Drosophila melanogaster: one gene and its partner. The protein of the gene in region 2 interacts with the protein of the main gene of each other region in a pairwise test. Each region holds a gene or a part of one and is shown on either strand. Other genes may lie near its edges.

Evidence for each region.
Region 1: the proteins of CG13133 (region 2) and CG13667 interact in a two-hybrid assay, tested with the Drosophila melanogaster proteins (one large-scale study listed by BioGRID).

What each region holds. Positions count from the first base shown.
Region 1 is NT_037436.4:8,397,617-8,414,788, reverse strand, and holds CG13667 (uncharacterized protein), read right to left. Parts: upstream 9,336-17,172; 5' UTR 9,308-9,335; exon of another isoform or gene 9,253-9,307; 5' UTR 9,250-9,252; coding exon 7,501-9,249; 3' UTR 7,435-7,500; downstream 1-7,434. Other genes in the region: mtrm (matrimony), read right to left, coding at 1,061-1,714; Exo70 (exocyst 70), read right to left, coding at 1-444, 507-571, 1,980-2,491, 2,562-2,727, 2,781-2,828; Oseg1 (outer segment 1), read left to right, coding at 3,296-3,360, 3,444-3,674, 3,746-5,200, 5,262-5,744, 5,803-6,077, 6,131-6,278, 6,336-6,536, 6,598-6,718 and 3 more; Tpt (tRNA 2'-phosphotransferase), read left to right, coding at 9,592-10,230; mkg-p (monkey king protein), read left to right, coding at 10,281-10,686, 10,739-12,312; CG7120 (uncharacterized protein), read right to left, coding at 12,811-14,040, 14,100-14,707, 14,846-15,113.
Region 2 is NT_033779.5:10,082,990-10,099,373, forward strand, and holds CG13133 (uncharacterized protein), read right to left. Parts: upstream 9,401-16,384; 5' UTR 9,247-9,400; coding exon 8,593-9,246; 3' UTR 8,219-8,592; downstream 1-8,218. Other genes in the region: CG44153 (uncharacterized protein), read right to left, coding at 3,212-3,317, 13,925-14,064, 14,794-15,021.

The DNA of each region.
Region 1 (17,172 bases), on a different chromosome or scaffold from region 2:
TTTAGTACTTTTTTCAACTGTTCCCTTTGCGCAGGATCGTATGTGCGGTCAATATCCGGCTGCAGCAGTATAACCCGCTTTAGGGCGGAGAATATTCCCAACGCCGAGGTCCACTCCTTGCGGGAAATGCAGCGCAGGATGCGTTGCGTAATGGCCTCAGCGTCCTTAACCACCAGATCGATGGCATTATAGGCCAAGGTGGCGAATACCTCGTTGTGTTTCGACTGGGGAATAATGTCGATCATGATGGCTCGCTCCCAGTTAAGTAACCGCTGCAGTCCCAGCAACATGACCAGATACTTGTCCAGTTCCTGATCGCCATCCATCAAATCCTCGGAGGTCAGGTGGTCGCTGTGCGATGATGCCTTCTTAATGGAGAACCCTGTGGACTGCTCAATCGTCTGCGTCGCGCGTAAATATAACTTGTTCGCCTTCTTTTCGAATCTATGCAGAATAAATTAAATATATCATATACGAAAACTTGGAAATTAAGTAATATTTCTCACATTTGCTGAAGACGAGCGGAGGTTGTCTTTTTTGGCTCCGTTTGGCGTCCACTGTGTCGCGGTCTCTGCAAGAAAACATTTTAAAAACATTAATTTGAATTGTTAATTGCCATTGCATTAATGTTTCTTCGGAATAATTAAGGTACTAAAATGGTAGCAAATTAAAAACTCTTATTTTTGTAACCTTTTAATATGCATTTGATTCTTATGAGTTTATTAATTTTAAAAATGTGTGTTTTACAAAAGCGTTTATACCCCAATTTTTTTTTTTTTTTTTGACAAAAAGTATTATGCAATTTGCTAGCTTACGAAATAAATTTAAATTTGTAAATGAGCTTCGGAGCAACATTTTAGGAATTACATAGATTCTTAAAGTGTACTAGAGTTTATTATTTAAGGCTAAAAACGACGAGCTTTAAGACACCAGGTCTTTTACAATAATTCTAGAATACCTACTTAATTATCCACATATATTAAAATCACAAAGTTTCTCTTCACATAAAACATTTTAAAATCTTAGTGTATGATAAAAGATGGACATGCCAGCGATTCACTTAAAGAGTGTGGAGCACATCCATGATACGGTTGCAATCCTCATCGGTATTTAGGCCGATTTTAACAAGATCAGCACGCTCCAAGGATGCCAGTTCCACCAGATCGATGTGAGCCTCTTCGAAATTGGTCACATAGTTCTCCAGGCCCATGTGCATGAGAATCTGTTCCACATTGGCGGCATGGTTAACCACGTACGAGTGGTTCGATGCTTTGATGGAACGACGACGCGACTCCAAGGCCAGTGAGGTCTCCATATTCGAGTCATCCGAACAGGTATCCGGGCTGCTGCAGCTCTTTATTTCTCGCTCCGGCTCGATGATCTCCTCCTGCGGCTTGGGCAGCACGAATGGCGGGGGCTTAAGCTGAGTGCGATGGCAGTGCTGATGCTGCTGCTGCTGCTGCTGCTTGGGATGCACCTTCGTTGGCACTTTCTTGAAGGTAGCGAACCGCATGGGCGACACTGGACTCTTCCCCTTCGTGCCCATATTCTCGATGGGCGAGAGATTGGGCGAACGGAAGTTGCCAAAGATCGGAGTAGAGCATCGCACGTTGGAGGTGTTCACCTTCAGGGTGTTCCATCTGCGCTCCTTTAGCGTTGGCGTGCGATTAAGCGTAATTTTGGTCTTGTTCGTGGGCGTGCGAGAATTCTCCATTTTTTTTAGATACTGTGACACAGAAAATGATGCGTTCTTTGCGAATTCAAGCTGGCAAATGGCGGTCATCGAATTGGACATGTAATGCTTACATGCACAAGCTTTTTCGAACAGACACCGTTAACCGAAACGATCAGAGATGGGAAAAGCATACATATGCTCATCATCGTACACATCGCTATTCATATTCTACTACGTACTATTTTTCTCCACATAATATATATGTATTAATACTAGTTAGAATATGAAAGAACTGTTTACTCACCAGAGCCTCGTGACCCCAACTGTTGCTCTTTTGGTGATCCTTGAGCAGCTGCAGCGATCGGAGAACCACTTCGCCCCGTTCCGTCGCGTAGATGTTTGTGTACTCCCTTAAATTTTGCTCCAACCAGTGCGATATGGTGTACAGCTCCTCGCGCGTCGTTTGCGAAAGCTGCCGGAATGAGGTGTATTCATCGCTGGAATCGTCCTCTATGTAGATAAGATCCAGCAACTCCACCGGCTTCAGCGGAGCACTGTGCTTCTTGAGGAGCATACTATAGTGCTGACTCAGGCCTTCGCAGCCGGTGTTAAACAAACTGGTGACATTCTCCAGCTCCACGCTCTGGGAATTGTTGTGCCGGAAGTAATCGTTGGCATCGCGCAGTTTGGCTAGTGCGTCGAGGAACACCGAGATGTTTCCCTCCACCGGGCCTTGATGAATCAACTGGCAGACCTCTTGGGAGACATCGTAGTGGGACAGGACGCTTTCCAGACAATTGAGAGTAGCTTCCAGATCTAAAAAAAAAAAGAGGCGGTGACACATTAGTTTTTTTTTTTTGAAATCCCATTGAGTTTATTTTCATACTCTGCTGCCGTTTCTGGAGCTGCTCCGTCTCCTGGTAGACGGGCAATATGGTCTGCTCCAGGTTTCCCAGGCGCTTCTCGAAGATTGTTAGAATACTGGACATTTGCGTGGACAGATCATGGTATTTATCCACTCGATCTTTCAGCAGAGCTAAATTGGTGGCTTCCTATGAGGAAAATGGGTAAGTATGGAGGTTTTGAGCATGACAACTAGACATACCTTCTCCAATTTATTGTGCGCCTGCAATGAACTGTCCAAATTGTTCATTTTCAAGCGTATATGTAGCTAAAATCCTTTAAAAACAAACAATAGTTCTGATATAAAAAACAATTCTATTTTATTTTGTTTTGACGAAACTAGGCATTTATGCACACTGGCTTTGGTCATACTGTCAATTACCGCGTTGCCAACTACTTTGCACGAAAAAAAAAATTATAACGGTCATTTCAGATAGTAATAGAAACTTTTTTTAAATATTGTACACTTAGACAATTAGGTAAACGATAATGAGGCTATGTTTTAAATAAATTGTTTTTACTACTAGTACTAGTTTATTAGTCAAGTCCTAGTTTTAAAAGCCAAAACTAACGGAAAAACCCGCCAAACTGCCATCTCCAGCCAAGACGCCAACTTTTGTTGTGGTTGGTTGCCATGGAATCTGTGTGTAAACAACGCACCTGCATTTAGGAATTTCTACCAACTATGCAGGATTAGCCAATTCGACTTCTGCAACAATGAGGGGTGTTCTCAAGTGGCTGGAACGCATAGAGTTTCCCAATAGCAAAGACAATGAGATCAGGTAAAGCTTTCTCATTCGTGGAAAACAACAACCTGTTGCTTGCTATAACGCCATAACGGTATTTGCAAAACCCAATTTTCCAGTGTCCACAATGTGTGCTACGCACCCGATGGCAGCCAATTGGTGGTGGCTGCGGGGGATCGGTTGCTCATCTACGATCCAAACGATGGCTCCTTGCTGAACACCTTGAAGGCGCACAAGGATACGGTCAATTGTGTGGCCTACTCGCGGGATGGCAAGCGGTTCGCCAGCGGAGCCTCCGATAAAATGGTCATCGTGTGGTCACCTCAGCTTGAGGGACTGCTCAAGTATTCGTGAGTTCTCAGCACACTTGCAATAAATTCTAGTTTTTTATATAAATATAAAAATATATTTACATTCATAGGCACGGTGACTCCATACAGTGCATGAGCTTCAATCCTGTTTCGCACCACCTGGCCTCGTGCTCCTTGTCGGATTTTGCCTTTTGGTCGGCTGATCAGAAGGCGGTGCAAAAGTACAAGATATCCGCGCGTGTCAATGGCTGCTCGTGGACCAATGATGGACAGTACCTGATCCTGGGCCTGGCCAATGGCACCATATCCATTAGGAACAAGTTGGGCGAGGAGAAGGGGAGAATCGATCGGCCTGGTGGGCCCAACAGCAACGTCTTCAGTGTCCAATGTTGTCCGGCCAGCGGTCCTGGCAGTGTGGACACCATCGGTGTGGTGGACTGGAGCCAAACGCTATCCTTTCACACTCTGAGCGGCCAGATGATTGGCAAGGAGCGAACCCTGGGCTTTGATCCCTTGTGCCTGCAGTACTTTCCCAATGGGGAGTTCTGCCTGGTGGGCGGCTGCACTGGAGGTCTACACTTCTTCACCAGGGAGGGCATTCGGCTGGGTACGTTGGGCGATACCTTTGACACCTGGATCTGGACAGTTGCCCTACATCCCAATGGTCAATCCTACACCATTGGGTGTCAAGATGGAACCCTGGCCTGCTTCAACATTGCGTCTAGTACCGTGCATGCCCTCTACCGCGAGCGCTATGCCTTCCGGGAAAACATGTGCGACGTGATCATTCAGCACCTGATCTCTGGCCAAAAGGTGCGCATCAAGTGTCGAGATTTAGTTCAGAAAATAGCCATTTATCGGAATCGACTGGCGGTTCAGTTGCCGGAACGTGTGGTTCTCTATGAGCTGAGCTCTGGAGAGGATCAACCCATGCACTATAAAGTGCGCGAGAAGATCCAGCAAAAGTTCGACTGCAGCTTGCTGGTTGTTTGTGGCCGTCACATTGTCCTGTGCCAGGAGAAGCGTCTCCAATGTCTGGATTTCATGGGTGTCCTGCAGCGCGAGTGGATCATGGACTCGTTCATAAGATACATCAAAGTCACCGGTGGCCCCGTGGGAAGAGAAGGACTAATGGTGGGCTTGAAGAACGGCCAAGTGTTCCGAATCTTTCTCAACAACTCACTACCACTGCTCATCACCACTGCGGTGTCAGCGGTTCGCTGCCTGGATATCAATTCGAAGCGCAGCAAGATCGCAGTTGTGGACGATGTGGGTCGCTTGGTTGTGCGGGACGTAATCAACGATACAATTTTGTACCAGGATACGGGTGTAAACAGCGTCACTTGGAACACGCACCTGGATTCGATGCTCTGCTATACCCACACAACAGGCGGATTAAGCGTTCGCGTGGGGAATCTGCCGCCGAGGGCACCACAGAACATGCATGGCGTGGTGGTGGGGCTTTGCGGAGCCACTGCCTTCTGCCTGCGCGGAAATATTATGCACAATACGCCTTTGGCTCTCGGTTCCACCATGTGGCAGTTCATCGAAGCTGGATTGTTTGAGTAAGACATATTCCAATTCTGCTTGGAATCTCCTAATAAAAGATGTTATATTTTATTTCAGCGAAGCCTACCAGGTCGCCTGCCTGGGCGTGACCACCAGCGACTGGGAGGGATTAGCTCAATCCGCTCTGGAGGCACTGCACATAAATATCGCTCGCGATGCCTACGTCAAGGTGAGGAATCTTCCGTGGCTCAAACTCATCGGTGAGCTACGAGATCAGCAACAGCGATCGGCGGTTCCTAAGGAGGTACTTCTCGCAGAGAATTGCGCCTTTGCCGGCAAGTTCAAGGAGGCAGCTCGTCTATTTCTCAAATGCGGCCAGTCCTCAAGAGCACTTGAAATGTACACAGATCTACGTATGTTCGATTTAGCCCAGGAGTATATTAAGGACGGCACCGACCAGGAGAAGAAGGAACTGGTACGCAAGCGAGCGGAATGGGCATATTCGGTTAAGGAGCCACGAGCTGCTGCGGAACTATTGCTTTCAGCTGGCGAAAATCAGAAGGCCATTGATATTGTCGCAGAGCAAGGATGGGCCGATGTGTAAGGAAATCAAGAAAATTGCACACATATCGTTTATAATAAACCTAACTTCTTACAGGCTTTACGATATCGGACGACGACTGAGTCTTACGGAACGCGATTCCCTGGAATCGGTGGCCCAGAACCTAAAGACCCTCAAAGCTCTTCCCCTGGCTGCTGAGATTTTCAAGAAGCTGGGCGATGAAGCCCAGGTGGTGCAACTGCACATCGAGGTACGCGACTGGCCGGAAGCATTTCGTTTGGCGGAATCGCTGCCGGAACTTCTGCCCACGGTGCACTACCAGCATGGGCAATGGCTGGCCGAAACGGATCAGTTTATAGAGGCGCATCAGGGTGAGTTTATAACTTTTGTTATGTTTATTTAATATAAAAGTTTTACTTTTCAGCCTACATAAAGGCAGGACGCACCAAGGAAGCCAATCGTTTGCTTAAGCAACTGAGCAATACGGCCATCGTGGAGGAGCGCTACTTGGATGCGAGCTACTTTTATTGGCTGCTGGCCAAGCAACATTTAGATGTATATCACGCCAAGGAGTAAGTGAAATATTACAATCAGTGCACTTCTTAATTTCTAAAACTTTTGTTTTATAGAGAACAAAATCCTGTTGATCACCACCTTACGGAGTACAAAAATCATTTACGTGTTGCCAAGGTTTATTACGCCTACAGTGTCATATACTCATATATGAAAGAACCATTCACCACACATTCCCCAGTTAGCCTATTTAACGTAAGCCGCTTTATACTAAACGAAGTGGAGCACAAAGGTGTCCCCAAAGGTGTCAGCATGTTGTAAGTTAAGAGCTCAAATCGCAAAAGTAGAACGTGAATCGACAGAAATCCTATCTTCCAGTTCGGTTCTCTTCACTCTGGCCAAGCAAGCTAAGTTTTTGCAGGCCAACAAGTTATGCCTTCTTATTAACAAGAGACTGCAGTCGTTGAAGCCACCAGCTGGAGTCCAAGAGCAGATTGATGTGAGTGATGTGAAAACATTAATCATCCAAATGATATGCTTATGAAGTACCTTTTCAGCTAAATTTTCTAAATAGCAAGGCTTGCAAAAGTGGCTTCAATGATCCGGAGGAGCTTTTGCCACTATGTTACAAGTGCTCCAACTACAGTCAACATTTGAATAGCAATTGCTGTCCCACTTGCCGGCAGGATTATATTTTCTCTTTCGTTTCCTTCGGTATGGAATTTTGTCTATTAGCTTAGATATCTGATAATGATGATGCCTCTTTTTAGAAATTCTACCCCTAGTACAATTTTATCCAGAAGTGGATATCTCTGATGCCGAGGCGGAGCGCTTGCTGCTGGCTCCTGCAAAGCACGCCGAGGATTCGGATCCATTTAACGAGGATGTGGCCAGTGCATTGCCTTTGAGCTTGGATCGCAATGGCCTGCGTGCCATAGATCCCAATCATGTGCTGATTCTTAAACGGAGGGGAAAGAATGTGCGGAATGTGTACTATCGTAATATATTACCCGATCTTCAGGTTACCTATTGTCCTCAATGTCTGCTGGTAAGGTTATACAAACCACATCATTTCATTTCGTATATTAAGTAACCCTTTTTAGCTTTTCTATGCGGAGGACTTTGAGCTGCAAGTGCTGCAAAAAGGTCACTGTCCCTTTTGTCACACATCCTCCGAAAAGCTGATGGAAGACTTTTGAAATCGACATAAGAAGTGTGTGCAAATATATAATTTCCGTCCAAAACTGTACAAATAGGAACTATACGCAAATAAATACGGTGTTACGCCCAGGTTTCCTCCTGATATCGTCGCTGTTTTATCATTAGTTCCACGTAATCGGCATCGCCATCTAGTATCTCGATAAAGGCCTCTTTGACAGACTTTGGCATATTATTGGAGTTGCCAGCCACGTAGATATAGGCATTCAGGTCTTTTATAAGCCTCGCCAGATGAGCACCATTCTTGGCGATTAAATGCTGGACATAGACCTTCTGATCCTGATCCCTCGAGAAGGCAGTATGGGCCTCTACCTGTTTCGCATCGGTCCAGGTGGAGAAGTCATTTCCAAAGTGGAAATCGGCAGCTTTGTTCCGACAGCCAAAGAAAACAACCAAGGGACCAATTGTGGCACCTTTTGATTGAGCATACAATCGGTTTTGGATAATGCTACGGAATGGAGCGATGCCTGTGCCAGGTCCTACCATTATAAGTGGTATACTTAAGTCTTTTGGCCAGACCATGGTTCCTCTTTTGACAACTCCGCTCAACTCAGTACCCGATTTCAAAGTCTTCAGCCAGTTGGAGCATAAGCCCAGACGTGGAGTATGCATTATGGTTTTGTACTCCACAACGGCCACCAGCAAGTCCAAACTTAAGGCGGAAACATCCGAGGCAATGGAAAAACTGCGTGGCTGGATCAGTGGCATCATCTCAAAGAGCTGTTGCAGAGTTAAGCTAGAGGTGGCGTGCCGGAAATCCTCCAGAACCTCCAAAAGATTACGACGCGGCCTGTTCACATAAGCCACTAAGTCATCAATTCCCTCCGCGGAGGAGAATTCGAGCAGCTTTTCCTTTTCCATTTCATCGCAGCAATTCTGTGCTAGTACCTCGAGGAAACGTTGCCGTGGCTTAGCACTCAAGTCCCAAACGAATTTGGCGGCCTGGAGGAGGCTTAAGGGATTGGAATAGGCTATGGGAAGGGGCATATCCTGATGTGCACTGGATACCTCCACTATAGTGCTCTCATCGAAGTTCAGGCTGTGTTCGCGAATAAGGTCGAAGAATGTTTGGACAGCTTCATCGCTGTTTTGCGGCTGAACATCGAGTACATCGCCGGGTTCCCAGCTAAGATCTTCAGTCTGACACTGCAGCCTTAGGAAGCGTACATCCTGAAAGTGATCCACCGCCGTTGTTCTTTGGTTATCCAGAATTTTGAAAGAGTGGGCAGTTTGTTTTTGGCTCCAGAGCAGATTGTCCATCGGAGCAATTTGGGAATCCTTAGGCAGCTCCTTTACTGACCACTTTACAGTAGTTTGGTGGCTGTTGCTAAGTTTACTTTCGTCAAGACCAGAGATGCCTTTCAGAGCTGTCCACAAATCCTTTGTCCAGCTAAGGGATACACCCAAATGCCCGTAGTCATGCTGATCATCACACAGACCCACTGGACACACGCTATTTGCTCCCAGATTCTGTAGTCTCTTGCTCAGTTTCTTGGCGGCATAGTTAAACTTCGGATAGCTGGAGTCCCCGAGTCCAAGGCACGCGAACTGCATGCCTTGCAAGGATTGGGCGGGTAAGCTGCGCTTCAGGAGAAATCGCCAGGCCAGCTTCATGTTATCCGGCTCCACTCCGTCACCCGTAGTGGCCACCACAAAGACCACGAGGCGCTCCTCAATAAGTTTGGTCATATCGTACTCGTCGAAAGGCAGCACGGGTCCTTGGAAGCCCAGTTGATGCGACTCCCGCCAGATCTGTTCCGCCACATCCTGGGCGGTGCCGGTTTGACTCCCGTAGAGCACTAACAGCCGCATTTTCTACAATTCAGAATTTTCGAATAAAATTTACTGATTACCGTATTTCATATGTTACAATTTGCGCATAACAGCCTGGTCCTCAAACTTAACAGCACGCTGTTACGCTGCACTGTTATGTTATAGAAACTACGGGTGCCGAAATACCAAAATAATTGAAATTGAAATTAGTATTTCATTCATTCGTTTCTAGTAGCGTTGTAGCTCTTCTTCTTTTTCTTCGAATAGTGATGAACCTAAAAACATCGATAGTCTTAAATGTCGATGCATCGCCACCTCTAATAGAAACGCAATTAAACATATTGCATTGTTTTGCGTAAATAAAAGTAAGTTTCGCAGGCAATGGCCTCGAATCAGCAAATCAATACGCAGCTAAGCAAAAAGCTATCCTGGCTGTTGCGGCACGGTGCGAAAACGGAGGGAATCACGATCCGTGCTGATGGATTTGTTAGCGTTCCCGATTTGCAGAAGCACCCACGCTACTTGTGCTTCACCTTAGAAAAACTGAAGGAGATTGCCGCCGCGGATGCCAAGCAACGATATACTCTTCGCTGGAATCCAGAACTCGGAGTCCATGAGATTCGCGCCAATCAGGGACACTCATTGGCGGTGCTGGAAGGCGAAGCTGGCGGTCTCGAGAATATTACCCATGTGAGCCAGGTACCCCTGGCAGTTCATGGCACCTATTACAGACATTGGGGGGCAATTAGAAGCCAAGGGCTAAGTAGGATGAACCGCAACCATGTGCACTTTGCATGCAGCGATGAGACCAATTCCACTCTGAGTGGATTCCGCAGCGATTGCCAGATTTTGATATATCTAAACGTGGAAAAGGTGCTGGCGGACGGCATACCCATCTATCGATCCAGCAATAATGTACTGCTCTGTCCGGGAATTGAAGGCTTCATACATAGTTCCTACTTTCAGCGTGTAGTGGACAAGAAAACGGGGCAACCCTTACAAATTGATCATTGTTATTGAATAGAATAAACCTGGCCGTTAAGCAGTAATTAAAACGATTTTTTACAGAAATGCCGGCCCCTGCCTCGGAATCAACTTCTCCGCCTGGGGATGGTGACGGTAATCTTGTGCTTTGCATGGTATGCGCTGCTCCCTTCCGGAGTATGCAGGATTGCCTTGCCCACGAGCTGATCAAGCACGCCAGCAAGCCACAAAAGCAACTGCGACAGCGATTGAACGCCATTACCAAGCTATTTAACAGCGCACAAAGCCAATCCGAGCGTCAAGAGCTGCGGGAGGCTCTCGAATGGTCCGAGTCCGGCGGGCACTTGTGCACCGTATTGAATTTCTTTGCTTGTGATCTCGAAAATATGAAAACCTGCTTCGGGCACGTCCGGAACTGCATAGAGAAGGAGATGAGGGGCAGGGTTAGGGTGTTCCCCTTTGGTTCACTGGTTACGGGTTTAGCACTGAAGGGTAAGTGATCACCAGTACAAGAAAAGCACATAATCCGAATCCTTTTCCGCAGAGAGCGACATCGATTTGTTTCTGGAGCCCAACGGCAACCAGCCACCATTGTTCCATAATCAGCTATACAACAAGACCTCACACTTTTTACGAAGATCCAAATGCTTTGCGGATGTCTTCACCATTCGTCATGCCAGCGTGCCCATCATTAGATGTAAGCATCAGCTCACCGGACTCAACATAGACATCAATATGTCAAATCCGAATAGCATATATAACTCCCGATTTGTGGGCGAACTGATGTTTCGCAATGAGCGGATACGCGAGCTCTGCCTGTTTTTGAAAATTTGGGCCAAGAAGCTAAAATTGATTAGTCATGGCGGCATGACAAGCTATTGCTTAATATCCTTGATCATCGTTAACTTGCAAGTGAATCGACTAGTGCCCTCCGTCAAAGAGCTCCAGTCACTCTGTCCACCGGTTATTTTGTCGGGCGTTAACTATGCCTACAGCCTGGACCTAACGCCGCCGATCCCAGCACGGCTCACCACGCTGGATTTACTTAAAAACTTCTTCATATACTACTGCACTGTCAACTTTGACAAAAGTGTATTGAGTCCGTTTCTGGGCGGCTGTGTGGACAAGGAGACAACACTGGGCATGCCGGGAGGTTTTCCCGAGTACGATGAGCAACAAAAGCTCGTGCATGATGCAATAGGTGCGCCGCCAGACGCTTTCCAGCTGGATAGGGCCATGTGCGTACAGGATCCCTTCGAGCTCAGTCGCAACGTGGCCAAATCAGTGTCCATTTCAAATTTATGTTACTTTAGACAATGCCTAGTCCTGGCAGCTCAAGCGTGCAGCGATCAGGAACTAACTTCGCAACCAGAGAAGCTATACGACTACCTATTATTTGGCCTGGCGGATAAGTTAGTAGCCGACAAAATAGTGGCAGATAAAAGATCAGAAAGGGCTACGCCGCGAAAGCAACAAAAAATTGAAAACGCCCATGTGCAACCGCCAATCGTCGATGAGACACAAGAAACAAAAGTCGCCGAAGTCGGAGTTTGTGGGACACCGCCCTTAGTGCGATCACACGTCATCACGCCCACCACAAACGATGTCAAATGCCTGCGCTCCATTGTGCTGGTCAAGAACACGGAGAACGATCAGAGCATATATTACTACTGGTTGATCTGCTACGTGGACACTATAAAGGATGTGCTAACTCAACTGTATGCTTTGAATGTGGAACTTAAAGAATCGAAGGAGCCGAAACACTACAAGTGGCTAATCAGCATTTCTTACGACACTTGGACAGGACGCTCTTTCCAACGTGGCGCCGGTCAATCTTTCTTCGCCCACCAGTTGCAGCAGACGATTGAGTTTACGAAGACGAGAATGGGAAATCCGCAGTACGCAGTCAATTTGCGCGGCTATTTCACGCTGCAGGCCAGCGAGGATTACAAAGAGTTGCGCCTGGATGTGCAGCCTCTTCAAGGAGATCTCCTCGGACTGCAGCGCAATAGTCCGCTAACAAGGCTTTTTAAGGCGTTTAAGAATCTCCTGGGCAACTATAGTTTCAAAGAGAAGGTCAGCACCTGGAAGTTTTGCGCCACAACTGACCAAATATGAATATCAACATGTCATGCTTTATGTACATACTTTTTGAATTCAATGGCAAATTGAAAACACACCTTAATGACATTATTAACATTATTTTATTTGAATGTACAATATCACTATAGGCTAAACTAATACCTTAAATTATAAGTGTAACGACGACTAATCATATGTAAAGTTGACTAAACGATTTCTTGGCAAAAGTCTCTTGGAGCAGGGAGAAATTATTTACAAGGGCGACAACAAAGCTTATCTAAATCATTTACAAGTGTGTGTCTGAAACTCCCCAAGAATAATAAAGAGGTTATAATTGTGTAAAGTAATCACAAAAGTCTTTGAAGCGTAGGGAGTTCAATTTTGAGTATACTTTCTACTGGGGGCTAATCCAGATACTTTTAGGCATAGAGAGAGGAAGAATTTCTATTGTATAGTATTAAGTTAATTGTACTTTTAGATCGTAATCTGAGTAACGGCACTTGGGCACTAGCCTTAGTTATAATCCTGATATATCTATCCCTTCTTCTTTCGGCAATAACAATATTTTTTGGCAGCAAAATCATTCATGCAATCCGCCTCTCCGCTGTAGACATTCAATCGGCTCACCGATCCGGTCACCTTTACGGAGTCATCCGTGTGATTGTGTCGCAACGTGGCTTCGTACTGGCCCTTATTGGGCGACGTGACAAAGATCAGTCGATAGGTGTGCACCTCATCCGGATCGAGGGCGTTGTGATGCGCCCGGAACGCGGATTTGATGCTGTGCAGGGAGAGGGGGGCACATAGCTTGGCAAAGGTGCCGTTTCGGAACTCGGCCACATAGTTATTGAGATAGCTGACCACACGCTTGCCTAGCATCCGCGACTCCTTCGAGGTGCTCGATATGGTGTCGTATTCCCAACAGGTGCACCAGTGATCCGCGATGCCCACATCGGAGCAACTCCTTTGCGGCGAGACGGGGGTCAGTAAACTCTGGCATTGCGGGCAATCGGGTGCCGGACCTAACGATTCCATTTCAGCGCGCCCGGATATGGCCAGTATGTGCTTCATGGTTAGGTGTAGGTCGTAGGGCGTGGTCAGGCGATTCCTGTTCAGCTGGAGGCTACGCACAAATTGTGGATGTGAGCGACGCAGGTGTTGGGGTAACCAAATAAAGATGGCCGGCAAACGTTCCTCCAAGTGACCCGACCAGGTGGCCCTCGTCGGTCCGAACCGCATGCCATGATCGCTGAAGAACACCACCACCGTGTTCTCCATGGTGCCCTGGCGCACAAGCTTCCGCAGATACTCCTCCATATAGCTGTCCATACTGCTGGTCTGCGAAATGTCACTGTGGCTGTGCGTGTTGGTCCAGAAAAATCCAAAGTATGTCTCGTTAAGGAACCTCCTGGTGAACTCCAGCCCATAGTCGTACACATGCTCCGCCGCCGTCAGATAGCCGAGGCAGTGCACCAGACCATTGACCGTCGTGTGATCCAGCTGTGATTCGGCGGCGGAGAGATATGGCCTCAAGTAGTAATCCGCCGGCGGATTCTTGAAGCCCTTCTTTAGGTAATTGAAAGTGTTGATCTTGACGGCATCCTCCGCGTAGGCGGTCACGTAGCCCCTCTGCTGGTACTGCTTCCAGATGTAGTCGCACTTGTCCAGGCCACCAACCACGAATGGCGAGCACGCGTGCATGGCATTGGGCAGATTGTAGCCGGTGAGCACAGCCATGATATTTGGAAATGTATTGTCGTCCACCTGGGGACAGGATGCGGATAAGAAATCTCAAGTTCTTCCATATCATGTACCAGTCTCACCTTATTATAGCCCGCCAGTTCGAACCATCCGTTGTCGTAGAGATACTGAGCCGTTTTGGGCATGGCTCTGATAAGATTAACACGGGAGATGCTATCGATGCCGAGCATCAAGACGCTCGGAGGTCTCTGATAGCCCTTGGCGTCGGCCTCGGACGCCATTCGTAATCGTTGCTGCACTGCCTCCTTGACGGGAACCGTCGCATGGCCATTGATATAGATCTGACGGCCACCTGAATCGCACTTAACGATGATGCCCTCGGCGGAATCGGGCAGCAGGATGCTTCCCTTGAAGGTTTGACACTTGGTGTACTTGACCTTCATCTCGTCCACTCGCTGCACCGACATGTAGCAGCAATGGAGCTGCTTGCCCACCGGGTAGCGACCGAAGGCCGCTCCATCGATGCTGAGCAGGTACTTTTGAGACTTTGCCTCGAATTTCACCTGCGTCAGGGGTGTCAATTTCTGGCAGGACTTGTATTTGATGCGCTTGAAGTGCCGCATCACCTCGTTCTTGTACGGATCCACCTCCATGATGCGGCAGGAGTTGCTGTACACGAGGAAGCCTTTCGGGACAGATGGATTAGTCTCAGTAATGGGCTCAGGTTCAACTGGACGGGTGCAAGCACAAACATAAGGAGGGAAAAACAAAAAGGGAATACCCAAATCATAATTACTGGCATGCAAACTATAAAAACCAATACAACAAGAATAAAATAATTATATGGTCATTCCATCGGTGGACTCACCATCCATCACCGTCGATTGATGCTGCACGGTGACGTAGTTATCCGAGTGCAGGACATCCAGATCGAGGACATTCACCCAACCGGTCCGGCCGATTAGAAAGTAGCAGAACGTGAAGGAGACCAGCAGTCCGAGCACCGATTTCCTGCTAACCGGAAGTGGTCGGTGCTGGATGGCATGGAGCACTCCTCCTGCCCGTCGGGTCATGTGTACTTCCGGCTCCTCCGACTCTGAGGTGGATGGATCCAGCAATAGACGTTTCTCTGCCATGTCATTTAGGCTCTCGTCTATTTATAATCATAAATCAAATCACTTAGTTTAGATCAATCCGACTTTACTTTACTTTAATGGTAAACTTAAAATTTAATTTAAGCAAAATTGAAATGAACGTAAATTACTTTTATTGAAAAGATTGCTGATCAAATTTATTATTTTCATATTTTTATTCTAGAGAAATATTATTATTTGGGTTTAAAATCATTAAAGAAAACAGCTGATCGTAAAAGCTCTCGCTACATTTGCAGAAAGTCACGCTAATTATAATAACAAATACACATGTTGAAAGCGAAGTAAGCAATAAGAGTGTAAGTAAGCTAAAAGTCGAGTGTTGCGGCTATAAGATACCCATTACGCAGATGGTGAAGCGCCAGAGAGATATGCAAGTAGCAAAGCGAGTGCTGACCGAAATCGGTATACTCGCTTCTAGGGTATACAAAATCAAAACATTATTTAAAAGTGTGTGAGTAACCTGTTACATTCTTTTCAACGAGTCTAGCATACCCTTTACTCTACAAGTGAAACAACAAATTAACTTGTATTTTGTAAGCTAAGTAAGAAAGGCTTATTTACATAAGTTTCACAAGTCGCGTGAACTAATTAATAATTTTTGATTGACTTACTTGTTAAATGAGTATTGCAGTGATTTTAGATTCATTGGCGTATTATTGTCGTTTTTGCAACTGAAATTAAAGTACAATGCATATGTATATGTAAGTAGCTGACGGATGCAAATTTTTTCGTTAGCTGGAAAACTCATTTTCCACTTATTACAAAGGTCAGTTTTCAGTGTCGCATACATTTTCTGTGGAAACAATGAATAAATTATGTTTTTTTTTTTTGCAAAACATGCAAAAAAGAATATGATACTGCTGATGAGTTTATAATTGGCGAATTCCGGAACTTTGCATTTCAAAGCTGATTTACAAATGTTTTTTTCTGTAGTCACTCTCCAGAGTACATAATCTTGTGATTTTTCGTTTTCAATATCTTTCAGTTGTATAATATATATATGTATATATAGTTTGAGTTCATAAGGGATTTAGTTGCATTTATTTTTAGATATAAGGTACTTGTTTGTGTTTTAAAGGATTATAGATCTTTATTCACACATTGTTTGGTTTTCACCGATTTGCACTAGTTTACATTTTTGTTTATTGTTTATAATAATACACGTGCAGATTTTCGGTTCAACAAACGTTTGAATACGTGCAACGCACTTGAATACATTTTCCCATTCAAAACAATTAAAGCACTCTTTTTTTGCCAGCCAGCAAGCATATAAATAACACGTTGTTTGCCAACCTTGGATGGGCGCATTTTGGGTGGTTCGAAATGGGGTGGCGGCCTGCGAATTCAATTAATGGAAATGCAACGTCTGCTAAGCGCCAGGTACATCGTTCTGCCAATCTGCTAATCTTGCGCCAGCGGTCCGAGCACTATGACGACGGAATCGCGAATGCGACTGTAGCCCAAGCACAGAAATAGGTTTGGGTACCAGGCCCACCACCAGGCTAATGGGTATGTGGGAGCGGGGATGGTCTCGGGGATCTCGGGGATCTTGGGGGGTCTGGGAGCCCGAAATGGGAAAATAGAGCTGATGATGCCACATGATGGATCTGTGATTCGCCTTCGCCAATGCCGCGATTATTTCATCGATCACGACTCGGTACGACTACGATCATTAGTTTTCACTTTTTTGCAGTTTCTCATGTGGCAAACATTGATCAGATATTTTGTTGTGTTAATCCATGACACGTTTTCATAGCTATCTACAATAAATATAATTATGCGATATTCATGCCCAGCACTGGAAGACCAGGTGTAGTTCGGCACTAAGCAAATGTTTGCAGCCAAGGAATATTTTCTTTTTTTTATAAATTAAAATTTCTTGATTTTAGGTTTAATAACTTAACAGATAGATCCTGATCAAGAATATATACACTAGTGGGCATAAGTATTTGGACAAGAAATATATTCAATATATTTGTTTGTAACTTATTGTTTACTTAAAGCAAAATTTTTAGATAATTTTAGTAAATAGGTTGACTAT
Region 2 (16,384 bases):
CTTGATGCTGCCGTTGTTGCACATTCCTCCCTTGGGAAAGCATCGAGTGCTACACTCGGCAAAAAATGTTTTAATATATACTTGCATTCAAGAAATACCCCTATGGATAAATAGTTCTATATACTTGCTACTTTAAGTTCCAAATAAAATGAAATAAATTGATCTATTTTAACATAAGTTAAGTTATTCTTCCAGCAAGGATATTAGCATTATTACTTTGTGCCCCCTTACATAGTTATTTCAAGTGGGAGAACCTAGACGTCGCCACGCGTCAACGATGATGATGATGATGATGGGCAGATGCTCAGCCCACTTCCGTTTCAAATTTAAAAAAAAAAAAGAAAAAGAAAAATGTGAATAAAACGATACAGCTAACGAGGAGGCGGCATCATTGTCACCGAGGTGAAGGTATCGCGCACTGGTCTGGACCGGTTTTTCTGCATCCTCGTCTGATATCTGGGCCCTCGGGCTCTTGGATTCAGCCGATCCGGAAATATTTAATAGACAGCGAGACACTCTTGGCGTAAGCCAAAGGTTAGTTGGTTTTCTTTTTTTTTTTTTATGGCCACGACGGCTTTAAATTCTGTGCTTCTTTTTGTAGTCCTCACAATCGGGAAATGTCGTTGGGATTTGCAGTGGCATTTACGACTCTGCAGCGTCAACAAATCCTGGCCAGGCCACAAAATCCAAATGCCAATTAACTCATTAAGTTGCGACGCTGTCCGACTGCAAAACTTGGCCAACGAGGAGCGCCTTTATGGCTAAATGGTATTTCATTGGACCGGATAAGTCGCGACTCATTAACAGGCCAAGTCGTTAAAAACAACACATTGTGCCCCGTGAATGGCTAAACATTTGGCCACGACACTTTGGGCCGATCAATGAACAACACTCCAGCGGAATTAATAGTTCATAAAATGGGTTATATCGCAACCATCAGCATTTATTTGGCTAATGGATATTGACATTGAGGCCCATTGAGGTTTACAAATTTAACTGCGATAACTAGAAACAATCTTGACTTTATTGCTTTAATATTGTGGCAAAATCAAAGTGGACCTTTTCCAATTCAAACCGTACTTGAGTCATACTTCATAGGACGAACAAATCCTTCACTTCGGTACACTTATAATCCAGAGAACACTTAAGCTCCAGTCGTGTCCTGTGAAAACTGAAATGGCTTAGGGCGGTGGGGCTAATGCAGCTGGCTTAAAGACAGCGCACCGCTTGGGGCCATTGTGCACGTAATGGACCCGAGACGACCGATTTCCCCCAAGGCAGATGAATTAATTGCAACAAGGCGTATACTTAATATCAATACATAAATAATAAATGCGCAAAGGCACACGCCCCCATTAGAAGTGTTTGGGTTTTTCGTGTGTATTCTTGTATTCTTGTGTTTTTGCTGTGGACAACTTATGGACGTGGACATGCATCCAAGTCCCCAAGTTCTCATAATGGGCCGTGGTGGCGGCATTGGCAGGCGCTTTATTGACTTGGACCCCGAGGCGGTGTTATTGAAAAGGATTCATGCGCTCGAGTTTTCAGCAAACAGCTGCGAGACGTGGGCACAATCGACCTTCGGGGACCCAGTTCGGACACTCAGCTCCGTTCCGGCCCTCCTCGTGATTATCGTTCAGTTGTTGCTGCAACTGCCGAGCGTTTCGCCTCGTCCTGCCAGCCTGGCATCCTGGCATCCTGCCTTTGATCTGGCTGTTGCGTCATTACGGCGAAGCCAGGACAATAATAAGTGAGCGGCACGAGGCTCGCCAAAGGCACAAAGCGGCCAAAGCGTAGGCTCCCCCATAAAGAACTTAGCGGAATCCCCCTTTGGGCTGGAACTGGAACTGGAGAGCCTCGGACCAGGCACTAAATACAATGGGTCCAGGGGCCTCCAAGAAATGCCAGCTGGGTGGTGCAACAGATGCTGACGCTTTTTGTGGTTGCACTTCCCCTTTTGATTACGATGCCGACTTAAAGTAATCTCGTGTGCCTTTTTAAATCCAAGTAAATTACTTCAGAATGTTTCGTATTAAATCAAGAGCCATTATGCTAATGCCGAAGTTCAATTGAGTTGGCAACAATTCTAAATTTGATTTATACACATGAAACGGGAAACATTTTATTACAATCTACCGTGAGCAGGCAATCAAATTACCATTTGATTTATAACTAACTTGGCATCCAAGTGAATTGGTCATGTGTCCACGTACTTGTGTGGTCCAAACTTTTCTTGGGAAACTTTTCACGTGGCTTCCTTTACGGCGGTCCAATATTTTTTTACAAGCCATTTGCGTAATATGTTATTACCTAAGCCATAAAGAAGGGTCCTGCAGGATTTGGGGTCCCAGGAAGCAGGGCAGTTTTGGGTCTAATCGTCCGGAACAATTTAAAACTCTTATTTAGTACTGGGCTGTAAGCCAAAAGGGAGAGAAAGCGAGTGAGAGTGAATCCGGAACGTAAAATCATCTTTGGGCACCCGTAAATTCATCCCCGGAAACCGCAGTCAAAAGAATGTTTAATAACATAGATTAAAATTTAATTGGCCCGTCCCGAGAAAGAGCATTCAAGTGCAATGGATGGCCACATTGCTCGCCATCGCACTCCTTTCTATCTCGTCGCTCCAACATATTTTAATTAGTCTAATTAAAAGCAACGTTATAGCGAAAATGAAGAACACAGCCGTGAACAGAACGCAGCAAAGCCAAATGTAATTGTGTGGCCTTCTGGGTGGGCATGTCGTTTTTTTCCAGACGCGCTAAATACAGTCGGAATAGCTCTGTGCTGTTATGATATGGCAATTAGACTGATTAGTCAGATGAAAATACTACGAGGCCTGAAAAAGTGCCCGGGGAACCGTAATCGCTGTAAAAAAAAACAAAAACCAAAGGACCAAGTGGCATTTTCAGATCATCAGCCCGGATTGACATGGATATTTTTTAAAACGCTTTGATGCGGAAGTGATGGCCAGAATCAATGTTGGCCTAGTTACGAATTCTATGCGAGTTTTACAAAAATGAAAGTAGTATCTAATTTATTAATGTTTAAATGTCACATAGAGAATTTAATTAGTTACAAAAGTGATACAAAAGACGGAAATAAATTGTCTATAGAATTTATAAAAAATTTGCTAAATTTATGTTAAAGTTCGAATACAAACAGTGCTACCTTAGAATAAGTATCTCTGAGATATGATTATATTATAACTTACCTTGCAGCTATAGACGCCCTCGTCGATCCGACTCGCCTTGGTCACGCCCAGAATGGCGGTGTAGACATCTTTGGTTTCGGGCGGCAGGACCGTGGTCCAGATTTCTCTGCAAAGGAGCAGATGAAAGCCTTAGTTAGTCATGCTAATTAGCACTTCTCCACTTTCGGTTTCTGCGAGTGAAAGTACTTGAAACAGATTCGCACACCGCCAGTCGTGCATTAATTCTCACGCCCCGTGACAGCCAGCCAAATGCCAAATGGCGAATACAATATGCCCCATATGCTGCACAGCTGTATTCCATGGAGCCCGCCCGGGCCAAGTGAACTGGATCATATGCAGCAAGCCCGCTAATTGACACACTAATAGCAGCTCACTTATCACGACCCCATATCCACATAGCCCCCCACCTATACCATAGCCAATGGCTTTCTGGGCGAAAGAAATCATAGCTAATGGGGAAACAATCGCGGATGCTGCGGTTCGAAGTCAATTAGCGGGAACATGTTTCATTTTCAAATGTTTTTCCAAATGCCCTGAATGCGGCTGCAACGACGCATTGTTGCTAAAATTGTTAATAGTTTTTGGTTTTGTGGATAAATGGGTCGGTTTGCAGTCTCGTACTTGCATGTGCGAATGCGTCTGGCTCAAAAATGTTGGGAGAATGAAACGTTGCCAACGGGAATCAATCAATGGGCTGGTTGATGAGATGACTTCTACTCTCACTTACGTACTTACATGACTTTATATATAATCTGAGATTCAATTTAGCGAGAATCGCAGTGCTCGTGTCTGTGACAAGCGATGTGGAATCGGGTAATTGCGAATTTAAATTCAGCGGCTTGAGCAAAAGTTCTGCAAACTGTCGAAAATGCACGGTAAGCCTATTAGACTCCTCACGGGCATGGCTCATAATCCTCCGGAGAGCTGGAAATCGCAGATTGCACCTGGTTGCAGTGGCGGTGGCAGCACAGCATTGCGTTCCATGAGCACTAAGCAAAGTAAACCGAAAGCCGAAAACCGAAAACCTTCCAGCTGGCAACAACTTAAGTGCTGTTTGAGGTTTTCGTGGCCAACAAACATCAGCAGTTTCCGCCTGACTCCCTCGCTCCACCTCGTCATCTTCTTCTTCTTGCGCCTTTCTTCCGCCGGCTGAGTGCATTTCACTAATAACTTTTACGCATGGATAGCGCTGACGTCATGGCGGTAAAAAGTGCCCAAAAACCGCATCCTTAACCGCACACCCACTGGCGTACCTAGTGCCTTTGGCACAGCTATTTACAGGTGTAGAGGCGTCTAAAAATGCGTTTTCAATGGGAATGGTAGTGGGAATGGGAATGGGAATGGGAATGGGCCTGGGGTTTTTGGGCATGCAGAGCACTTAACCTACAATTTACTAATGGCAACGGGCGGAAGGACTCCTTTGCGGCTCCTCATGGGCAAACGCCAAACACGCACCTTCAAAATCAATTAAATGGCAACGGAAGTAATAACACTCCCAACCGGAAGTGCGTAACGCTTAAATGCAATGCAGCAGCCACAGCGAAGCAGTGCCAACTATGATGTCCTCGCAGGACTCGCTAACAACAACCGCAAAAACAGCAACGCGGCCACAGGTCCTGTTTGGCCTCGCTTACAGCAAATGGGCCCAGGCAGGATTGACATCGACTTTGGCACAATAGCACATTGACGTCCTGCATTGTCCTGGTCACCCTGAACGTCCTGGCCGTCCAGGAAGCTGGCTAAGCCGCAGCAGCTCCACTAATGCCACTGCATTGCCCGCCGAAAGTGGAACTGCAGTTGCAGCAATTGCAACGCAGGACGAAGGATTAGGACCTCAGCGATGCGTACGTGATGTCCAAAGGAGCTGGTGGTTTTCTCTCTTTTGAATTGGTTGCTATCTAATATCGCTGCGAAACAGCTGAACATTATTCGATTTGGGTCGTTGGTGGCTGGAGCCCATTCGATTCGCTTCATGGTGTGTGCTCAATTCGATTCCCTGCCAAGGATATACGCATACTGCGTGAAAGGCCCCCAAACAAAGGAAGCATATCCGAGTCCTTAATGCATGTATTTATCTGGATCTGGGCAGGATTATCTGCACAATAGCCCATAAGCTGTGTGCCAAATAATCTTAAAGTTCGAACGACATTCGCTTGGATTTGTTTGAAGATATTTTTATTTTATGCCAGGCTGGCAGGACTGGCAAAAGTTGCGAAAGTAATATAAACTTATAGTGTGGCTAAGTAACTTTTATTATTATTTTAGTATTATTATTCATCAGCTTATAACCATATGGCATTTTCAGTTCGGGTATTTCGTGCTTCGGTCCTCCACAGATCGGTGCTTCATTCCTGTTAATGATGCATTTTCCCAATGCGATTTGCCTCACGTAACCATCTCCGGCAACTGAATTTGCTCCCGGGGCAGAAACGTTTCGTTCCGTTGTCGGCTGCGGTTGCAAAATGCATTTGCCACTCCTCCGCAATCCCCGTACCAAGTACCCGCACCCTTTTCCGCTTCCCGGAATTGAAAGCGCTACAAATGGCCCGCAAAATGCCTTTGCGTAGGCGTGTGCGCGTGTCTGTGTGCGTGTCCTGTAAATACAACTACAGCCAGTCGGCTGTCAGGATGCGAGTCCGCAGGATGCTAGTCCCTGATGGGGGGGAATCCCCAATCTGCGCTTCATTTGAGCTGATGTGCTTTGGTTGCTGGTCAAACAACTCATAACAACGCATTGGCTGTAAGGTTCAATGGACCAATTATGTCGGCATTGGTGGCGAAGTCTTACGATGTCAGCAAACTCTGTTGTACATGCTCCAAAATCACGGATTTTCCAGCCAGTAATGCCCACTTAGCACTATTCACGAATAGTTCGATACATGGGCAAATGATCGAAACAAAGGCAGGTGCTATACTTGAAACCACTTTATGGGTATTAGCTAGCTTTTAAAGCAAGTATAAAATAACTTTAAGTTGTTACTATGCTCATTCACAAATTGCACTTTGATAAAAGGATAGAAAAGGACACCGTTAAATGTTTAAGCTTCAATTTACCATTAAATCAACTCGGCATGCGAAATGTTTGTTTATATATTCCTACATGTCAATACAGTCGGCGTCTAAGATCCCCTGGCGGAAACAAGTCCTTCAGTATTCTATCCCCCTAGAGAGCTCCAGTTTCCAGCTCCGTTACCGTCTAATGTCGCATCAATTTGCGTAATTAGGTGTCCCGTCCTTCACGCACACCGTCAACTCATCTACAAGTTGGCTAATCCCCGGGGATATTTGATTAGTAGTGGTAGTGTGTGATTGAAAAGTTGCCAGCAGAACATTCCAATCGGCGCCCGCAGTGGATCAAAGGGCATAGAAAATAAAAATTAGTTGTGAGCCGCATACCGATTTCTGCGGAGTCGCGAACCGGGAAATATAAAAACCATGAAACAACAATGGAAATGGCCCATGGCGATGGTCGATGATGGTCAATGTTTTCTCTAGATCCCGGGAGCGGAAGAGGTGCATATGGGTGCGTTTTTATGGACAACAAGGCTGTAGGCCTCATCCAGTTATTTAAGCACGGACACACGCACAATATATATATATATATAAAATATACGATTCCGATTCCATCGGAGTGTTTTATGAGTTCATAAAATGGGTGTGTAGGTGTTTATTATCGTTGTGTTATTTTGGTTTGTCCCCGCCGTCACCAATATGGCATGGGAAATTGAAATTGTGAAGTTGCTTTTCTGCTGAATATTTTATCGCGCGTCCTTCGCCATACTCGTAAATATATGAATATCCTACGGCCCGGAAAGTGAGTCCCCCGACCAATATCTTAAAGCTGCAGGCATCGTAACTAGATTAGAAAACAGGCAGTCCGTCCGGGCATCCGACAGGATGGGCACTACGTTCGGGGATTCCCCTCTTAGTCGAGGGCGCCATATAAAAACTTTATTAAACGCAACTACGCATAAAAACAAAACGATGACAAAGTGTACGCGACCTCGTCTCCTCAATTGGCAATTTTTTCAGCTGCCGCGCTGCGGCCTGCAACAATTCACTTCAAGATGTAGCAAATTTCATTAGAATCGTAACGGGAAAACGTGTCTCAACGGCTAAATTGCAAGGGACCAAGACCGAATCAAAAACGGAGCAGTAGCCCACGATTTTGGGAGAAGGTCGAAGGCTTGATTGGGTTCTTATGAAGTGGGTCACACGCCCCAAAGTGCCCAGCCTTTTATTTTTTTGGTGCAAAATATGTTGGAGCTTAAGATTGTTACCCAACTATTTTTAAACTTATTCTGCAGATAGTAAATCATTTCATCTGACATTTAATTGCAAATCTTTTCATGTATCTCATAGCTTTTGAAAAGAGCTTTGTAGCTATGTTTTATTCCCTTTTTTTTAGAATTTTCTTGGGTCGATAGCCAAACTAAAATACATATGTACGTATGCCTACGTCTATTATACACTTCTAGCTGACTAGCTGGGTTTCTTTATTGTCTTTTTATGGGCCATGTGCCCGAGGATACGAACACAGACAAGAAAAACACAAAAGGTGTTAGTGAATTTTATTCAAATTTGACGCTAATCAAAAGCTGCGTGACAGGAAAGTTAAAAGCAGCGAGAAATCCAATTCGCTTGGGTTTTGAATTCGAGCTGAAGTTTTCCCAGAGGCATGATTTATCCCTGATTTGGGTTTGTTTTCCCGATTAGCTGGAGGATATTTTCATTCGGATTGTACTTGAAATAACAACTTGGTGGAATGAAACATTGTTATCTTTAAATACCTTGATCCGATTTGATTTAGAATTCATTAAATGTAAATATATTTTCCAGTGAAATGTTCATCTTCATTATATTTAATAATTAAGCTCGAAGAAAATGAACAGCCATTGCAAAATACAGTACAAAATAAAACAGAATACCGTTTAAATAAATGATAAGATTAAAGGTGTTAAATTATTTCTTCGAAAAATCTGGAAATATTCAAAACTCTCCTGTTTTCTGATAAAGTCCTTTATTGGCGTTAAACAAAATCACAAGCGGATATGAACTCTTAAACGTTATATTGAAGCTACCTTAAGAAAATTCTACAAAATGTTGACTTCGCCATATTTGCTCACGTTTCGAACGAAGGACTACGTGCTATCTAAGCTGGAACCCAGGAACAATCCGAGTGATTTTGGTTTCCACGAAAAACTCCAACGTGCATGTGCGCCAGGTGACTGGAATGTGCTTCGACTGTCTCTCCGTCTGATATACTGCAACTGCCCTCCAACCGATCGACTGCCTCTGGCGGCCTAAACGCATTTGGACTTCCGCCTCCACTTTGGTATGAGCAAGCGGAACCGCCGCGCAACCGCCAGACGTCGCCGGCTTCATTTGTCCATCGCCGTGCCAGCAGGATTAGCCTCTCCACCATCGCCGTCCACATCCGCCTGCTCGATAGCCTTGGGCGCCGTGGGATCGGACACGCTGCCAAAGTAATTGCCCGTGGGCTCAATCTCGATCTCGCGCTCCACGTCGTCCAGTTTCGGTGGTGCTGGCACCGTAATCATCAGTATTCCGTCCGCAGAGAAGGTGGCCCGTGCCTGTGTGGCATCGTAGTGCCGTGGTAGCTTGTAGGATCGCGTAAACTCGCGAGTGATGCACAACTGACCCTTCTCCGCCCGGTCATCCGCCTGCTTGCCCTCCACGCACACGGTGTCGCTGTTTTTGGCCTTCACCGTGAGCTCAGAGATCTGAAAGTGGTGCACGTCCAGCACCACCTTGAAGGTGCCCCGACCCAGGGAGTCCGGTTCGGTGCCGGTCTCTATGACCACTCGCCCAACCAGACAGGATCCATGGCACCAGGCACTGTCGTCCATCCGCAAGTGAAAGTCCCGCGCACATACGTCCAGGTCGTGGGAGAGATAGTAGTGCCTCTGCCGGCACTTGGACTCCCCGGTGGACCAGTGGCGACGCGGCGGTTGCCAGTGATGGTGACCATGCTCGTGATCATGCTCCCAATCCCAGTCCCAGTGGATGGGCATGACTGCGCCACCGGTTCCCGATGCACGGACTCCGGTTCGTTGGACACACGGAGCAAGCGTGTTGATTTTTGGCTTATGTGGCCAAAAAAACCGTTGCCCTCCGCCCGGTTCGACTCTTACAAGCTAACTGAGTGGATGAGGTTATGGTAATCGCTGGAACTTGGAGCTGCACAACTGTACCTGGCACCAAAGCCACTCTAACTGAGCATATTTCTGTTCCACCTTCAATGGCGTTTTTAAGTACAGTGACTCTTCAGTAGGTGCGACTCCAATTCGATGCAGGAAAGGATCATTTAGAAACATGCACGTAAACCAAAAGATATTCTTTTAATTAAGTTGGCTACAGGTAAATGGCTTTTTACTAAGTGATAACTCTCAATCAGTTACATATATCAGGATTTTACTGTATCGCGTTCCTTCAGTGGGACACGCGTTCCCGGGAAAGTGGGTCTCAGCCTTGTCCGACAACTCGAACTGTTTGATCAATACCCGTCCCACCAGCAGTCCAATCAGCCGCGGAGCTTCGTCCTTTTATTGCACAAGCGGCGCCAAGGAGCCGGAATCGGAAGACGGGACAAGGAGAGCACAGTGCACACAGCGCGAGTTGAGCCAGTTATGAGATAATGCCAAAAATTTTGAATCAAACCGAGTGCTGGAGGAATGGCGAATGGTGTCACTAATTGTACCATTGTCACCCCGCCACGGGAAGAGCAAAGCAAATCCGAGCAACTGAACTCGGCAGACGAGTATGGCAGACGCATTGTGGCAAATGAAACTAATGAAAATCGTGACCCCACAGCAACATTGGATACTTATGCACTAAGAGAAACTGCATGGATATCTATGAAAATCGAAAGCTACTCCATGAAGAGTGGCAAAAGTCCTTGTTAAAATTGTATACTTATTTTAAAATTTGAAATACACTTTTTTTAGTGCGTTTTTTTTTTCAGTGTGACTGCAGTGCTATCCAAACAGCTGTTAACAGGGTGCTATCTTTTACGGAAAATATGGCAAAAGTAAGCAACCAAATTTTCTGATTGGCTGTAGATAATGAAAGCTGCGTCGGATTAAATTTCCCGCCAAATCCTTAAGGCTCGTGGGACCAAATTACAACCACTTCCTCTCGATTTGCACCCTGTATTCGATAGCTGTATTCCATTGTCCTTAGACGACGACGACGACATCGTCGTTGCGTTGTCAAGACAGTTGTTGCCTCTTTGTTGCTGCCATTTTTGTACCACTGCTGCCCCGGGTTGAGCCAATTTGTAAAATATATACGATATATATTTTACTTATGTCTGGTGCTGCTGGGGTCAGGCAATTTGGCTGCTCGCGCTGCATGGCTGCTGAAATTGAATTTTTGCTTTGGCTTTTAAGCAAGTTTGACAAATTTTCAGAGCACGGCCAAAAGTGACTGCAACAGTTTCGTTAGCTTCCAAGCCAAAAGTCGATGTTTTCTTGGCCAAGGGAAAAGCAGAAAAGTCAAAAGGGGATGGGGGCCAAGGGGTAGATGGGTTTGAAATTGCATTGACAGGCAGTCAAGCCCTTCCACTTCATGGCGCTGGGACAAATATAGATTACGCAAGTGCTTAGGGTTAAGCTAATATTAGCAGGAATCTAAATTCCTTCCTCAAAAGGTCAATTGGTTTGCTGGCTACAAATTGTGCACCGCTTTTACATAACACATCGATGCCAAAGACGTCAGAGAAACGTACAGAGCTTAGTTTTTAGCAAGCTCCTGTTGATCGAATTAGCTGGAATTTGTTAGGCAAATAAAATGTGGGAAAAATGGATCTTTGTTGGCTGCTTTTCAGTCTTGAACTCAGTTCAATTCAGACTTTAAAGGTGTTCGCAAGCTTTAAGTAAGCAAAAAGTGGTGTAGTTTGCACAATAAAAGGACCTCGATTATTTCAAGCGATTAAGGATATTTTTGAAAAGTAAAATCCAACAATTAAGACAATCGAAGTTGGCTTAATGAGAAGTATTTGCTTAGCCGCTGCTTCAATAATTGTATTACTACTGTTGTGGCACTTAATCAGCCCAACGGCCTTGTAGTCCTGCAAATCCTCGCCCCAGATTGCAAAGGACACAGGATTAGGGGCGCAATTAATGACCGTGGCCATTGATTATTTTACACACATGTGTGTGTGTGTGTGTGTACCTACCGCCTTCAAATGGCAATTGGAACGCCAAGGCATGTTAATCAAAGCCACCCCTGTTTTGGGAGTTTGGGGCCAGTTAGCCATGGTTGCGGGCCTCTTGGCAACCAGCTTTGGATGCCTTAGTGCCGTGATTGGAAAATAATTGCATTCATTAAGTGGGTTATTGCCTACGACGCTTGCGATAAACATCTGCTAACTGGGTCACAATTTCGGCGACTGGCAATCCAATAGATTAACGGCCGAACGCCTCAGTTTGCGGGCTTAAAGGTATCTGTATCTGAACATAAGGTTCGTTACACTTGGCCACAACGGATTGGTTGATAGTGTTCCGAAAGCTCGAAACTTCATATTCTTAAAATGTAGTTAATGTTACTAGATATGTATACTTATATTTATTGTCCTTTATCTAAGTCTAAACACAATTACTTTATACGTGCCTTAAGCAAACTGTCTAAATGTGCCAATTGGTTGCCAATAGCCATCGGTGGTAACTAATCAGTAGATGGCCAGTATTGGCCATATTTCGATAATAAATAGCATTTGCCCAAGTGAACATCTCCCTGCGGTGAAATCAAGCATTAAAAATTCACTTACTTCCGGTTATTTTAGTACGCAAAAGTAAAGTCATCGGACGGATTTAATGTGTAGTCGTTTGTATAATGCAAAGTTGGTAAATGTCCAAATGAATGACTTCACTCACTTCACTTTAGTTAAAATATTTACTAATACTTGCCTACCCTCCATTTGCGGGGATTTTGGGTGGAGTAAAACACATGTTTGCGGCTTTGTACGGCAGTCATTTTTTACACATCAATGCGTCCGAGTGGGCCACGCAAACTGGGCGAAACTGAAACTGATGGAAGGTCTGCCAGCCACGTGGAGGTCCTGCAGCAAACAAGGATACCATGTACATGTGGGGGATCCGTACAAATATGCATAAAAGTAATCATAAGTCCGGATCCCCACCACCACCACCACCACCACCTCCTCCTCCATCACCATCATCATCATCGGATGGGGCTAGCTGGCGGAATGGCCATGGAAGGGTCCGAATTGTTCTATGTAGCAGTTGGCATTTGGAAAACGCATAGTTGGCTTCACTAGATAACAAAAACTGAACTCCGAGAATAGATTTGGTTATCGATTTGCGGGAATGGGGGCCATACATTTATTTATTTGAAAGGTAATATTCGGATGAACAATCCTTTATTCGAATACCGCATAAAAATAGAACACATCGTTATCAATTTGATGGCCATCTGCCGATTGAATAACAAGTAATACAAACTATATTTGGTTAAATTGTTGCAAAGATAAAAACAACAATTTACCATATAATAGTTATATTCCTAAAGAGTTCGATCCATTTCGAATGTTTTCCTAACCAAACAGCTTATACGCGCATTTTCTTGAAATTTTAGATATTTTTAGATTTCAAGAGAATGGAAATTTAAATTTCTGGTCAGATAAAAACAACTTTTGGCAACGTTTCGTGACATGTAGTTTCCAAAAACGCGTTGTCCCAGAATGGCGAAAGCCAGCCTGCCAAGGCTTAAAATTTTGTTAATGAATTGCGAATTCTATCGGCATCTGCACCGCCCTGCGCACCGCGTACTCATTTAACCAATCCTTTCCAAGGACCTCCGTTTCGCTCGTTTGCCATTCACGCAACACATTTAAAGTTTGAGCTTTGTGGTGGTGCTTTCGGCTGCAAGGCGAATTGTCAAGGCAACATGACGGGCGGAAAGTGGGTGGTGTTGCTCCTGGTAGGGCTAAGCTGCTCATAACCCCTGCCAAGTCGCCCAAGTAACAGCCCCTCGTTAGTTACGGCCATATGCTTTTTATGTAATACACCCACACTACCCGCCAGCCAAGTGGATCCGAAAGTGGATCTGAATTGCGGGGTTGTGGAGCCTGTAGTCGGAAGTCTGAGGCATTCCGGAATGGAATGGGCATGCCATTCGTATATGTTGGCCAACACATGTGTTCCGGCTGGCCCACTCTGTAGGATTTATGATCAATCATTCGGTTAGGCTTACTGCGGTTAGGTTTCGGTCTGGTCCAGAACTCAGTATCCCAGCCAGCCTCCAGTTCCCAGCTAGCAACTTACCAACTTGTACCCCGTCCTTCGTCCATGGCCACTGACAAATCTTTATCTTTGCCCTGACTTATTTATCCTTTTTGGCCATTTCATTTTTATTCCGCCTGGCGTTTTTATGTCATGTTTATTGATGTGTAAAAGTCATAAAGTCAAATTGAACACTTGTGACGAGAGTCATCCCTCGCGATTTCCACCCGTCTTCACCCGTTTCTGACTTTCCGAGTGTGACATTGATTTTTGCCATATTCTTTCGATTCTATACTATTTTATTAAAACTCCAGACTCCGTTTCACAGTTTTCTAGGCACTACTCCATTCTCATTCCATATTCCATTACGCGGGCAGCAAGTTTATGGCATTTCGAGCTGGTTGTGGAAGATAAGCAGCTGCGACATGTATATATATAGTTCACTCACCTCGTCGATTTGCTGGCATTAACCACAGCGCCATCCTTGAACCACTGGAACTGCATCCGGGATGAGCCTTGGGCCGTGCAGGATATGATGAACTCGCTGGCCTCGCGGACTCCTGATTGCGGCTGATTGACGGTCAGCTCCTGCGAAAGGGGAGACAATGTCACACTAATTAGACACAGGATGGCTGTGGTTCGGTTTTCGGTTCGAGGTTTTGAGCTCATCGGTTTGGGATTGCTTGTGTTCCTTTGGGTGCCAGTCCGTCAAACATTTGGCAGTGGTGGGATAGGATGGGGGGGGGATATACCACTGAGGTTTGGCGGCTTGTTCGTCATGTTAATGCCACTTAATTGCCGGCCAACTCTGATGAGTCCAATTGTTCGGGCGAACTGGCCGCAATTAATAAATAATTATTTTCGTTGCCGTTTTCGGTTCGAGTGTCAAGTGCCACACTGTTGACATATTTATGTGCATATTTATTAACACGGCACTTTGCTACATTGGCTATTATGTTTTTATTCCGGCACACGGCTCAATAGTTAATAAATTATTGTTTAATATGTATCGGAAATGGATGGTAGTGACCCACCCATGTGGGTAGGTGGCCCTATATATATTTATTACGCTTTTAATAGCCGAGATGGTCCGGCTCGGATGCGAATTAATGAAAATACCATTCGGCGAAAATCAATGATGGAATGCCTCCGATTGATGGATGTGCCCAGAGTGCAAAGTGAAATATAAAATTTATTTGTGCACAAATTTCAATAGGACAGCGTAGAGCTCTATAAATAAAACACTACGAGTGTCTGCCTCGAACGTAGAATTCCGTAAGAATCAATTGGTAAATGCTTTTTTTACTAGCTACTCACCAGCAAGCCGAGCGGAGGATTCTCGTCGAAGTGATGGAAATTCGCCACCAGTGTGAAGTTTCCTATCCTGCCGCGCTCCACCATCCGTGTGATGGCATCCCGGATACGCTGTGAGTCACCTTTCACGCCAAAGAAGTGAAAGGTGATGTCCAGGCGATCGGTGGAATTTGATATCAGCTCCAGATCGCTAATCTTTGTGATGTTGAAGTTGCGCAGGACACGACCAAGCTAAAAAAAAAAAGGAGAACATTTCATTTAGTTCAGATGCTTAACACTTCGTTGTATTAAAGGGATACAACTTTGGCCAACATATTAACCCTTAACCATTTTTTGTTCGTAGCCTAGCTCAAAGCCCCAAGCTCGTTGAATGCGTCGCCACTTTTTCATAATTCGAAATTAATGATAATATATTCCTGCGAATAGCACTACTGGGCATTGGGCCCGCATCGGAATACAGGCACACATTGGCCAAAAAGATACGAAAATGTTGGAGCACAACTAGGGCTCACCTGGCATGCCAGGATGACGCAGGAGAGCGCTTAAAGTGTCCTTGGATGCTCACCTTTTCGGTTGCTTTGTTCTTATCGCCTGGCTTTAAGCTGCGGGCCAAGCTTTTCCCGCTCAAATTGGCCATAAAAGGCATTTTTCCGGACTTGCCTGCACCGGGTTGTGTCAGAATGCCCGGCCGGCCTGCAGGACTCAGCTCAACTCAAGGCATATCCTTGTTTAAATGATTATGCATTATGCTAAAGCCATTTTCCTTGGTAAAGTCGGTGGGTCGGTGGGTCGTTGTTCCACCTAAGTCCTAGTACGGTTGTTAGTTTTGTTGTCCGAAAGTTTTAGCAACTTTATCTGTGTTAGTCCGGCTTTTTGTTGCATGCTTAAATATTCATACTATTGAGTCACATCTTCTTTATGCCCCAAGAGCTTGAAGTCAATGGGTGTTTTCTTCTTTTTTTTTTCATTTTCAAAAGAGCCAAAGCTGCAAAGTTCTTGAATTCCCAATTTGATTGTGATAAAGGAGTGGACTTTACTTTTAATTGGGAATTATTTAGTGACCCACAAAGGGGTGTTAAACTTGCAGAGTTCGCCTTTTTGTTCGACTCTCAGACATAACCAATTAGAGCGTTTTAATTAAGATGCCACTAGACGCTCACAATAGTGCGGGAAAATGGGAAAAACTTGGCGGAAAATGTGGCAAGCCATGAAATCAAAGCTGACAGGGAAAGTCTCCTCGAGCACACCGGTCACTATGGTTTGTGTGGCCAAAACTTATTGAAAGTAATTATGGGCCACCATCGCGCCTTTTTAAAAACCTTGAACTATTTCAATTGGCTTTTTGATGCCTGGGCTTACCTATTTTCTTTTTTTTTCGGTGCACCACTGCAATTTGTAATTATTTGTGCCGAATGCGAAAAACTAATGCAATTCTGGTGGCCTAATTAGTGCGACGACGATGGGTACTCATACAAATTACTGGCAGGCAGCTTCATTGTTGCGGGGCACACAAACACTTGGATCGACAATACCAGAATGCTAGAGAATGCCAGATGAAATCCGGCTGTACAAGTGGAAAGCAAAGCTCGGAAGG